Linked DNA regions of Solanum lycopersicum. The protein of the gene in region 3 interacts with the protein of the main gene of each other region in a pairwise test. Links are inferred from orthologs where the notes say so. Each region holds a gene or a part of one and is shown on either strand. Other genes may lie near its edges.

Region 1 (3,996 bases), about 38 Mb from region 3:
TTTATTACTCCTTATTTTCCTATGTTGTTCAAACTCTTCAAAAATGTCGGGTGCGTGTAAGATATTCCAAAAGTAGTGCATTTTTCGAGAATCCGACGCGGTTATGGCATATTTTTGGAAGCCCGAGCAACAGATATTTTTTCTGCTAGAGCATCTACAGCAGATAACAATATATAGGACGTTTGCTTCAACTAGAAACTCTCAGATATATTATTTAGATTGTTGGCATAAAGCATGGGTAATGATTTTTGAATTGTCCTGGATGAAGCAGCAAAAAGTATAGGAACTGTCGAATAAAACATGTTACCTCAACACCACTTGGAATCATAGAAGAAAAATTAGACCAGTTAGATTAAGACCCTCTTTGTTCATCAATGACATTTCAAGCAACATGTTACCACCGGTGTAGCTTCATACAAGCAAAGCCAAAAGGTTAAGCCTTCAAGAGATGCCTATTCTTTATTCTATATTGAAGCTACGTATTTATGTAACAGAGAAATTTAATGAGGAAGAAAATGGAAAAGAGATATAATGCTCTTTAAGTAAAAATAAAGGCTTCTTACTGGTGTATCTGCCATAGGGACATTAAGAGCTTCCATTGTACCACATAGATATCCATGATCAAGGTCACAACCCTGAATACGCACATTTACTCTCCAAGCTTCATCTTTTTGCTGACTCGAAACGTTCTGAGTTCCAGAAAATGCCTGGAACAAAGCAATGCAGTGAGAAAAGATGAAACTTCACACTTGTGTGACAAGCTGAACAACCATAAACTGTAAGTTGTAATGCTTCACGGCTAAATTAATAGCCAAAAGGTACAATCAAAAGGAAGGATTGAACCACCATAATGCCCTTTCCACAATTTGCCAAAACGTTAGAGTGAGAAGAATGCCCCCTTGCAGCGGCTGATCAATGAACCTATCAGATGGACGCCCATAGGCCATAAAGCTTTGGTGGAAGGTGACTTTTAAAATAGCATACATGGCCTCACCTCAGGGTTTTTGCAGCTAGGGAAAGAACAAGGTGTGTAGGCTACTAAATTACTTTTCTAGGGTCTCAAACAAGCTTAAAAAAAAAGGGAAGTTGAAGCTCCTTGATGCTTACTGAAGTTAGATTTCAATCAAAGCAAACACGACTACTCTCAGTCTACCAAGAGGTTAGGCAGCAACATTCTGATCATTCTCATCTTATACAATTTGGATATGATACAAGCAGCAAAAGAACAAAATTTTCAAAATCAGGTATAGGGGAGCTCAGATTCTTCTCTGGTATTAAATTCGCAAGAATATAGAAAGAATCATAATTCCATTGTTGAAGGACGAAAAAAAAAAAGATAGAAACAACAGGAGCAGTCGGAAAAAATTAAAAAAGCAGAAGCTCACCTGTCCAACACTTAGAAGTGTACAGACTGAAGGCAAAGTATTTCCTGAAGTTCCACCTTTGCAGTTGGAAGAAAACAAGCATTTCAGTCGTTCAACAACTACTTACTACTCGGAAATACAAATCACATAATTTGACACCAAAAAGTACAAAACTTTAGCAACACAACTTACAAACACCACTAATATTAATTACAACAACATACCCAATGTAATTTCCAGAAGTTCAACATTTGCAGTTGAAAGAAAACGAGCATTTCAGTCGTGCAAAAACGAGCATTTCGGTCGTGCAACAACTACTTACTGCTCAGAAATACAATTCACAGATAATTTGACACCAAAAATTACAAAAATTTAGCAACACTACATACTAACACCACAATAATAACAACAACAATAAGCAACATGCCCACTGTAATTTCCTGAAGTTCCACTTTTGCAGTTGAAAGAAAACAAGCATTTCAGTCTTGCAACAGCTACTTACTACTCAGCAGACACAAATCACATAATTTGACACCAAAAAGTACAAAACTTTAGCAACACTACATACTAACACCACCACCACCTCCACCACCAATAACAACATACTCAGTGTGATCCCACGAGTGGGTCTAGGGAGCATAGTGTGTACCAGAACTTTATTTTCGATAGACGTTCAGCTCAAGAAAACTACATACTAACACCAACAAAAACAAAAACAACATACCCAGTGTAATCCCACAAGTGGGTTTGGGTAGGGTAGCATGTACCAGCCCTTTATTTTACACTCCCACGAGTGAGTCTGGGGAGGATAGTGTCTCCCATACCTTTATTTCCAATAGACACTCATCTCATAAAAACTACATACTAACACCACCACCACCACAAACAACAACATCATATCCACTGTAATCCCACGAGTGAGTGTGAGGAGAGTAGTCTGTACCAGACCTTTATTTCTGATAGACATTCAGCTCAAGAAAACTACATACAAACACAATGATAATTAAACATACTATAATCATAAATTGAAGAAACCCAATTCAAATTTCACTTAAACCACCAAATTGAGCAAAGTGACCAGCCCAGATCTTTTCAAATGAAACTTCAAATAGAGAAAAATGCTAACTTTATCTGATTCTCAATGTAAAAACAAGAAACAAATAAACCCGCATTGCACTGATAAAACTAAACCCAGTTTCTACATCCATAATCAAAATTGCAACTTCGATTAAAAATAAAGATAATTTCAATCAAAAAATGATAAATTAATAGCAAATTCATTACCTGAAGGCTGCGAAAGTGCAGAAGAAGTCTCCACAACTCTCACAGGCATTTTGCTTTCGCCTCTACTGAGAATTGAGAACTGGGTCTATTTTTCATAGAAATTTATTTTTTCAGAAAATAACTATATAAAAAAAACTGTTGTTGATTTTATTTGATTTTTTGGCAATATATTTTGTTTGTCCTTTTTTAATTCCTTTTAAAAAAGAATATTTTTTTTATAATTTTAATTTTTTATTCAACTTTTTTAGGTTGCATATATTTAGGGCCCGTTTGGATGAGCTTAATAAAAGCAGCTTTAAAAAACTACTTTTGAAAGTGCTAAAATTTATTTTTAAAATAAGCAGTTATGCGTTTGGATAAAAGTGCTGAAGTTAAAAAAAAAAAGTTGTTGATGTGTTTGGCAAATAAATGTTGATAAACAGCTTTTTAAATCAAAATGTCTGAAATATCCTTAAAAGCTGTTAACATAATAAAAATTAATTAATTTATATTTTATAGCCATAAATAATTATATTTTGCTATCATTCACATATTTCTTTCTCATCACAAATTATTTATAAGAGGAATATAAACTTATTATAGATTTTAAAGATATATAATTTGAATAGATTAAAGAACGATTTACAATTTTATTTTAGTTTCATCCATAGGTAATAATAATTGTTTATCATTCACATATTTCTTTATTATCACAAATTATTTATAAGAGGAATATAAATTTTTATTTAAGTTATATGTGCAACTTATTTTACATTTTAATAATATATAATTTGAATAGATCACTTGAAAGATTTAAGATTTATTTTATTTTCATTCATTAGTAATAGTAATTGTCTATCATTCACACGTGAAAAGGGAAAAATAGAAGAAAGAGATGTTAGGGTTATGTAGGTAATTTGGAGATTGTATAAAAATATTAAGGGCAAAAAAGTAAAAATGTGGTCAACTTAAAACAGCTTATAAGCTAGGAAAAAAAAACATCCCTACCCCAGCTTTTAACTTTTGGCTTAAAATAAGTTTTTTTTAACTTAAAATAAGTTGTTTTGAGTATTGCCAAACAGCTAAATAAGTCAAAAACCAACTTTTAAATCAGTTTGACCAGTTTTTAAGCTGAGCTAAACAGGCTCTTAATTTAAAGTCAAGATAAATGAATTGAAGAAATGATAATAGATTTGCTTATTGATGGTTACATTACATTACACTAAAAAGAAGTTGATTATTGATTAGTCATACCAAATTGATTAAAATGAAAAAAAAAACATTTATATTTCAAAATTTACTTTAAAGTCCAATTTGATTTATTAAGTACTTTTATTTATCAATCATTTTATGATAATTTAACATATAA
Region 2 (4,059 bases), about 22 Mb from region 3:
AATTTTGGTATTTCGAAAATCTCAAATCATGATTTGAAATTTCAAAATCATGATTTTAAAGGCCCATTTGGTCATACCATATAAATTCATGATTTGAAATCATTATATGAAATTATGAGATGAAGTTGAAATTTTGTTAGGACATACAATTTTGACTTTTTATGTTTTATGTTTTCTCATAAATATAAAAACTCCGTAAATAGTAAAAGTATAAAAAATTATCCCCAATTATTTATATAATCTTACCAAATAAACAAAACTTATAAAATCGCGTAATACATTATTACAAAATTATTCTTAAAGAAGAACAATATTTATTTATTAAACCTTAATTCAACAAAAAATAAAATTGAACATAAATTATAGTGTTCAAATTGTTAGTAGCTAAGAAAATTTTTTTTACAATTAATCCCAGCATGGTTAGTCTTATCCACTCAATATAATGGTGATTATTTGTTATTATTAAACATTGATTTGAATGAAGTAGTAATAAATTTGATTAAAAAATAATGATTTGGGGAACATAAACGTTAAATTAAGAATTGTTTTGAAGAATAAATTTGTATTGACGAGAATAATTTGTATATGAGATATAAAAGGTTTAAAAAATAATGATATGAATTAGAAATTTTGTTTACAGATGAAACAAATGGGTATAAAATAAATGTGAGTTATTTTTACAAAATAAAAACTCGCGAATTAATATTTTTATTTAAAATTCCTAAAAATTATGACTTTTAAGAAATTAGAGATTTCATTTTACTAAATCATAAAATAAAATCAGCATAAAATTACGTGTCCGAAAACACTGCCATGTGATGAAAACACATGGCTAAAGCGCCCCAAACGCCTACCAAGTTTTGCGGGTAATTGTAATTTAAAACTATTTTTATGGATATATGGTAGTTTAGTTTGTGTTTGGGATTTTTTTTGGGTATCTATAATAAATTTATAAAATAATCGTGAAAAATAAAAAATAAGTTTAACTATCAGAATAATAAAATGCAAATTATTTTCTGAATATAAAAGTTTAAAAAAATACGAACTCGCAATCTTCGTATTGAAAGTGAGGATTACTTATCATCAGAACAACTCCATTTTGTCAACAAAAAAAAATACGTATTAAAAGTAAAATATACCACTAGATGAACAATTTTTTTTTAAAATAAAAAAATAACATATTTTTTTTTATTTCGTTAGAGGATAAAGGTATATAAGCACAGAGAAGTAAATGAATCACTTTCATAAGAGGTTTTGTTTTTTCTTTTTTTTCAAATTTTATAAATTAATGGCCAAACAGCCCTTTAACAAAGCACAATTCCGGCGAAAACAATATCTGAATTGCTCCACTTTTCACAGACATCATTTGGCGAAAACAATTTTTTTTTTCCAAGTGGGGTGACTGACTGATTCATAAATCATCATATCTATAGAGTAAATTAATGCACAAATAATTGCACAGTTGGGGTGTTGAACAAATGAAAAGTATTGTTTTTTTTTTCAGAATCTTGAATAGTGATGAGTGAGCTAGACAGATTCTTGGAGAGACTACCCTTTTTTCCCCATTTCAGTTTCAGGTTAGTCTTTTGATTTCTTTATGTGTCTGTGATTTAAGATTTGGTAAAAAAAATTGAACTTTTTTTAGTTTGTTTTTAAGTCTTGGATTTCTTTGTTTGGTTATAGTGTTTTCACCTTATTGAGTTTGTTTTTCCCAAACTGTGATTATATCATAATTGCGTTATTCTTGATTTTGGTTTCATGCTGAAATGAAAATCTATGATTACTTTTATCCCTTTTATCAATTATGTTTGTTAGGTTGTGGTTATGAAATAGCCTCCTAGGTAAGGGTAACTTGCCTACATCCTACGCGATCTCCAGACCCCACAAACTGTCACGATCCAATGTTCTCGGGTCATGATGGCACCTACTACACTGCACCAGTAAGTAAGCTTAACCCTTAGCCCGAAGCGATAAGCAATGGACTAGGCGACTAGCAAGTGGAAGCCAACAACAAGAAGTAAGAGCTTAGAACAAAGTAGAGAAAGGATAATCAACAAAAACAATACAGGAACCATCCCAAGTCCTGCCATCAGTTAGTTGAGCATCTAATCCAAAATAGGAGTACAAGGCTTTCACAAATACAAGACAAGTACAGACTAATCTCTGAATACAATATAAAGACTAAGCCTAGCAAAACATATGGAAACCGGTAGCTCTAGACGCCAGGAGCTCACCCTAATCTCTGAAACTCCGAGCTGCTCCGCACGACTCTAAATCAACGGCGATAACTCAACTGCAATCTATAGGGGGCAGAAGTGTAGTATGAGTACCCTGAATGTGTTGTGGATTTACTTTTAATACATGAGCATTCATAGAAAGTCTAAGTAATCGAAGCTAGGATAGTTCTTTATTATGAACATATGATATTTTTCTCTCTCTTCTTTGGTAGTGCTATTATTGATATGTTCAATACTGTATTTACTTTGCATATTTGTTATTTATATGCTTTACTTGAGCCGAAGGTCTATTAGAAACAATCTCCCTATCTTCAGAATATAGGAGTAAGGTTGTGTACACCCCACCCTCCGCTAGACACCACTTGTCGGATCACATTGAGTATTTTGTTGTAAATCTTAGTTCTGGAAGACGTGCTTCGACCAACTTGACTAGGTGAAGGAGGAAAGATTTTGAGAGATTTTTTTACTCCCTTCTTCCTTAGTACCTCGAAATTCCACATGCTTAGTATAAAAAAACGAAGTTAAAGACGTAGAAATCTGTCTAACTACAAAGTACTTTGTTTTATTTCAGCTAGTCCTTCAAGGGGTAAACATAGGTGAATGCAGCTGGTTATTTAATTGAAAGAGTCCTTTGGAATGATATGGACAAGTCAAAGGAGGAAGCAGATGCAAATGATGTAGGTGCGAATGTGCTATCTAGAACGAGGGAGTGTGATTCTGGTGAACCATCAATGGGGAAGTGTACATCTACCAGTCATGAGTTGCCAGAGGGATCAACTTCTGCCAGTTCAGGGATGTTGGAGAGTGATGGAATGAACAGAAATGTAACGTCCATGAAGGGGCCTCAGCTCCACGGTACAAGCTCTTACTCATTGAATAGTTCAAGGCTCACTCTTGAAAAGTTGTGTAGTTACAAAATTTCTGAGCCAGCTTCTCTTAGATGCTCCAATAGTCAAAAAACCATTCAGAAACCACAAATTCAGTGGCAACGTTTCTATCAATTGGGGTCTGGCTCTAGAAGTTTGAAGGGAGATGGAGATCCTTCATCCACGGACAAGGCTGTTCAGCAATTAAGTTCCAAGGAGTTGCCAAGAATAAATTTACTTGCGCTGAAAATGCTGAAGCAAGCATCCGACAAAGATATCAAAGGAGGCTCTAATGCAGAGTCTTCCCAATCAACAGAAGACCATAACCTAATTATTCCAAGAAATAGATTACTTCCGGGAAGTAGTCAATCAAAACTTTTATCCACTTCTAGCTTTTCTCATTTTTTTGCTAACCGATCTCTTAAAACCAAAGATGTTTTACCAAAAGGACCTGCACTTCATAAAGAAGTTCATATTGCCTCTACTCTGCAGAATAAGAATGACTTCGAGCAAGCCTCCACAGGAATGGTATCATCTGATGTTTTTTTAAAGCAAGGTGCTAATTCTAATCAAGCATCTTTCAGTCGTAGCGATCACCAAAGACCCACTTCAACTTACAATGGATTTACCTTGAGAGAGTGGTTAAACTCGACGGGATCACAGATAAACAAAGCTGAGAGGATTCACATATTCCGGCAGATTGTGAAGTTAATTGATATTGCTCACTCTGAAGGAAATGCATTCCAGGATATACGGCCTTCCTGTTTCATTTTACTGTCACCTAATGGTGTTAAATATATTGGTTCATCTGTCCAGATAGACTCCATGTATGCTGTGAGCCGGAATACTAATGGGAAAAGGCCATCCGACATGGAAATGCATGCTAATAGTAACTTGGGTATAAAGCTACAGAAGGTCAATGTGGACGTGGGCTTGATTAGACAGCAGCCTGAAAG
Region 3 (4,062 bases):
ACCAAGAGCAAGAGCCCCAGGAAAACCAGCATCATACAAGCTATCCGTACTCAAGCCTGTGGAATCTGTATGATACTCACAAAGCCATGATACTATATCCTGCAGCTGAAAGTCACTTGGGTTCATTCCTAATCGATGTATCTTATTCTTATAGAGCAAAGCCGCACCATCACATTTGACAAGATCCATAATGTTGGGGCTCTGTGACACGATACCTAGGGGAGCATCTCGCATCAGCATATCACACAAGAGAGTCTGAGTACGCAGAATATTTTTCTCAAGGAATTGATTTTCCAATTCCAGTTCCTTGTTGACGTGTATGGCAAAGACTTGTGCAAGAAACTCACATGCATACCTCAGTGGAAAGGGAACGAACCTTGGGGTCGTGTTGTGGCAAACAACCAGGCCCCATAGCCTTTTTCTTTTTTGAGATTGTGAAGAATCAGAGCTTTCTCCTTCTTCATCCCCGTCATTGACCACAACTGCCATTACAAGTGATGCAATTGAATTCATGTTCTCCATATACTGTAAATGGCAGTAGTGAGGGGCCCTAAGAGTAGAGCCGCACAATGTTAAATCAAATGGAAGCTTCTCATCTTGGACTACCTTCACATGCTTTGCTCGGCAATCACAAATCATTCGGACCTTATTCTTCATAAACAAAAACCGTGCAGCCTGTGGAATATCTGTAGCAGGATAATGTAAACCAAGGTAAGGCTCGAGGCCAGGCTTTGTGATCTCAGACACCACCTCTCCATGATCATCCTCGTGAAACTTATATCCCATCACCCTGTCATAACCTGTGAGTTCAAAAACCTCCTGAACCATTGTGTCACAGAGTCTTTCCATACTGCCACTGGGCAAGGACTGCAAGCGAGTAATGGCTTTGGCTGCTAGTTTATATGACTGCAGGGCCCCTGCAGCAGTCATGGGTACTTCATAGGGCTTCACAGGCTCAAAATCAAGGATTAAGCTACCTGTAACCCTATGAACAATTGCATAAAATGGCTTTCCAGAATTTTTACAGTGAACAAGGACAGGATTTAACAGAGAAACCTCCCCAAACCCCAAGGCTTTCTGCAATGCTGCGCCACTAGGACCAGTGAAGATCGTTCTGATATCAGTCCCGATGCCAAGAACTGGATGCTCACCAACACTTGGAACAGCATGGCTAACCATGGTCAGCATTTCAGGGGCATTCTCACTGAATGCTATGACCTTTAATGTTTTCTCATCCAGGGCTAACAGACAACCAAATGGCTGGATAAACTTGCCCTTTTGGATCTGATGAAGGTAGGCGGTGGTAACTTTGTCTGACTTTGGTTTTTCCTCATCTCCAGCGACACTTGTAACCCTCACTGAGCTTGAATAGTCAAAGGAATCACCTGACTCCTCAAAGTCTGCATGCAGCTTTGCATCTATAGAGGTCTGTGCAACGATCCTAGCACTGTGCTTTGATCTTGATGAAGTGGTGGAAGATTGGCTAGGTCTTGAAGACGACATCTCGACTCAAATCTAAATAGAACATACAAAATAACTACTACAGGATTAATATTATACATTGAAGCTACAAAGTTGAAATAGGAACTGTAAACATCCGCCACTCTCAAAGTCATAATAACAGAAGTTTTAACTTTTTTATATCAACAATAGTTGAACTAGAACAAACACATGGATGATTTATCGTAAAGCCTCTACCTTTCATCAATATGAAACATCAAATCACTATTTGCAGCTTAACATTTTCCATCCACTCCCAATCTCACCCCACTTCACCAGGAGGGATGATATGTTTAAAAGAAAATCTAAAAAGAGTTTAACTGAGTAAGTCAGGTAATTCCGGATCCACAAATTAGCACTAGATAACTAACTATATAACAAAAGAAACTAGATGATGCAGACACATATGCATAGTACACAGTAAGCTAGTAGTTTGTTTTAGCTGGATTAACAACCTAATCACAACCTATATAGTATATCCTTAAAAGTTGAATTTGCAGAAGAAAAATAATCAGTGAAAGAAATTACCTTTCACAAGCTTTGAGAGACAACAACAAAATAATAGGTTTCAGGTGAATTGTTGTTATAGTTGATCTGAATCTGAAGCAAATAATAAACTGGTAGGTCTGAAATTCCCAAAAAATGGACCACAACTTGGATTTCTCTTAAAGATTTATCGATAGCATTAAAAACACACAGGTCAAAGCTCATATACACAGTATGTTTACAAATCTCAATAAATAGAGAGTGAGAGAGAGTTTACTAGAAACAAGTGAGTTGCTCCATTGTTTCCTTTCCAAACATAGTTATTTGGTGTCATCCCAAAATTAGCATAACCTTCAATCTTCATTTGTCGTGCAGCTCTGTATAAAAAAAGATAAAATTTTTTGAATTAAAAAAAAAATCAAACCCCAAGTAGAGATAATATATAATAATTCTTGAGTGGGTGTAAATATAAATATAATAATAATAGTTGTAGAAGGACTGTGATGTCAATCGTTTAACAAGATTTTAAAGAGAGAGGCCATACCTCGAATAACAAGTTAACAGGAAGTTATGGACATCACGTGAAGACATCATCCTCTTATCTTTTCAAGGGAGAAAAGGGTGTCAGAATATGAGAGAATTAAGAGCTGATACTGCAAAATATGGATCTACATTTTCATTCATATAATAATCACAACAGTTTTTGGTGTTTCACTCTCCAACATTTACCTAACATACTTTGAATAAACTTCTCTATGTAAAATCATCAAAACATTCTAACGAAATTGAACTCATCTTTTCTTTGTTCTACAACCTTCTTTGACTACTCTTTTCCCCTTTTCTTGCCCAACAATTACACTTTGAAAGTCTTTTGTTGCTTAAATGTTTTTAAAAATGTTTTTAATTAATTTATTTTTTTAATTTAAAGAAAATAATGTACTTTTCAAATAAAAGTTTATCATATAAGATATTTTTACGTTATCTAACCCTTAACCCGCATCAAAAGAAATTGCTTTTGAAAAATATTTTAAATTTAATTTTTAAGAACTTTTTACACACTCCCCAAACCTTTGCCGTCAAAAAGTTGTATATGAGAAATATTTCATTTTTTTTTATTTTTACGCCATTGATACGCTCAAACTTACTTCTCAAATAAGAAGTAAAGCGGTCGTGTCAAGTAAATAACCTAACTAGTGAGGTTGGGATCGTTCCCACGAGGAAAATAGTCTAGACTTAACTTCAACCTGTTATTACTATTGTTTGGTCAATGACTTCCTTGGAAAGTAAAAACAATAAAGGGGGGTTTCTATTTCTAAATGAGTAAAATTAATTAACAAACTTGACAGAGACACTTAACAACTTTGAATGTTGGATTTTAATCAATTAATCAAAGTAACTAGGATTTACGTGTTCCCACAAGTTCATAACTTGATAATTCTAACTATAACAATTCTTTTCTAGTATCTTGCATGCAAAGTAATAAGTTATGTATTTCTAAATCCTTGGTCCGGCATCTAAAAAATCTCACTCCGCACCTTGGTCCGGCTACGTGTGTTGCTATCCTAACCCTTATCCTTACCTCATATTAAGCATCGTATTCGATATTTGACTAAGTTATTACCTCGTACCAATCAATACTAGCCTATTAGATTGTATACACTAAATCTATGTTAATAATTCTTTTCCTATTATCTACCTCCTTTGTCCGGCAAGTAGCATTAAGGCGAGTTCTAACGTTGGCCATTCGTTAAAAGGACTTCTAATAGAAAGAATTATTAATACATGCAAGACACTATTCTAGAATTGTTATTTTAGTTAGGGTTTATCTCATTATTTGCCTATGGTTCCCACAACCCTAGTTATGGAGTTTAGTTACTCATAGCCATAAACACAATATTCAAATCTAGTAGATAAGAATTCATATACTTACTTCAATGAGAAAGAGTAAAATCCAAAAGTTTGCTTGATTAATCTTCAAAAATCACTTGCAAGAATCTCAAAGTAATCAATAATCTCACAAAAAGTCTAATGATTATCAAGAATCTCACCGTACAATGTTTACCAATAAGGAATTTT

The links.
Region 1: the proteins of PHYA (region 3) and uncharacterized protein interact in a two-hybrid assay, tested with the Arabidopsis thaliana proteins (3 studies listed by BioGRID). The link is inferred for Solanum lycopersicum from reciprocal best matches to the Arabidopsis thaliana genes PHYA and AT2G37680.
Region 2: the proteins of PHYA (region 3) and protein SUPPRESSOR OF PHYA-105 1-like interact in a two-hybrid assay, tested with the Arabidopsis thaliana proteins (2 studies listed by BioGRID, with this or other methods). The link is inferred for Solanum lycopersicum from reciprocal best matches to the Arabidopsis thaliana genes PHYA and SPA1.

The regions. Positions count from the first base shown.
Region 1 is NC_090809.1:63,431,223-63,435,218, forward strand, and holds the start of uncharacterized protein, read right to left. Parts: upstream 2,818-3,996; 5' UTR 2,698-2,817; coding exon 2,649-2,697; intron 1,442-2,648; coding exon 1,386-1,441; intron 708-1,385; coding exon 564-707; intron 1-563.
Region 2 is NC_090809.1:4,267,048-4,271,106, forward strand, and holds the start of protein SUPPRESSOR OF PHYA-105 1-like, read left to right. Parts: upstream 1-1,242; 5' UTR 1,243-1,577; intron 1,578-2,808; 5' UTR 2,809-2,878; coding exon 2,879-4,059. UniProt on the Arabidopsis thaliana protein: Controls normal photoperiodic flowering and regulates circadian rhythms. Required for suppression of photomorphogenesis in dark-grown seedlings and for normal elongation growth of adult plants.
Region 3 is NC_090809.1:25,834,624-25,838,685, reverse strand, and holds the start of PHYA (Phytochrome A), read right to left. Parts: upstream 2,810-4,062; 5' UTR 2,531-2,809; intron 2,364-2,530; 5' UTR 2,264-2,363; exon of another isoform or gene 2,029-2,263; intron 1,538-2,028; exon of another isoform or gene 1,516-1,537; 5' UTR 1,504-1,515; coding exon 1-1,503. UniProt on the Arabidopsis thaliana protein: Regulatory photoreceptor which exists in two forms that are reversibly interconvertible by light: the Pr form that absorbs maximally in the red region of the spectrum and the Pfr form that absorbs maximally in the far-red region.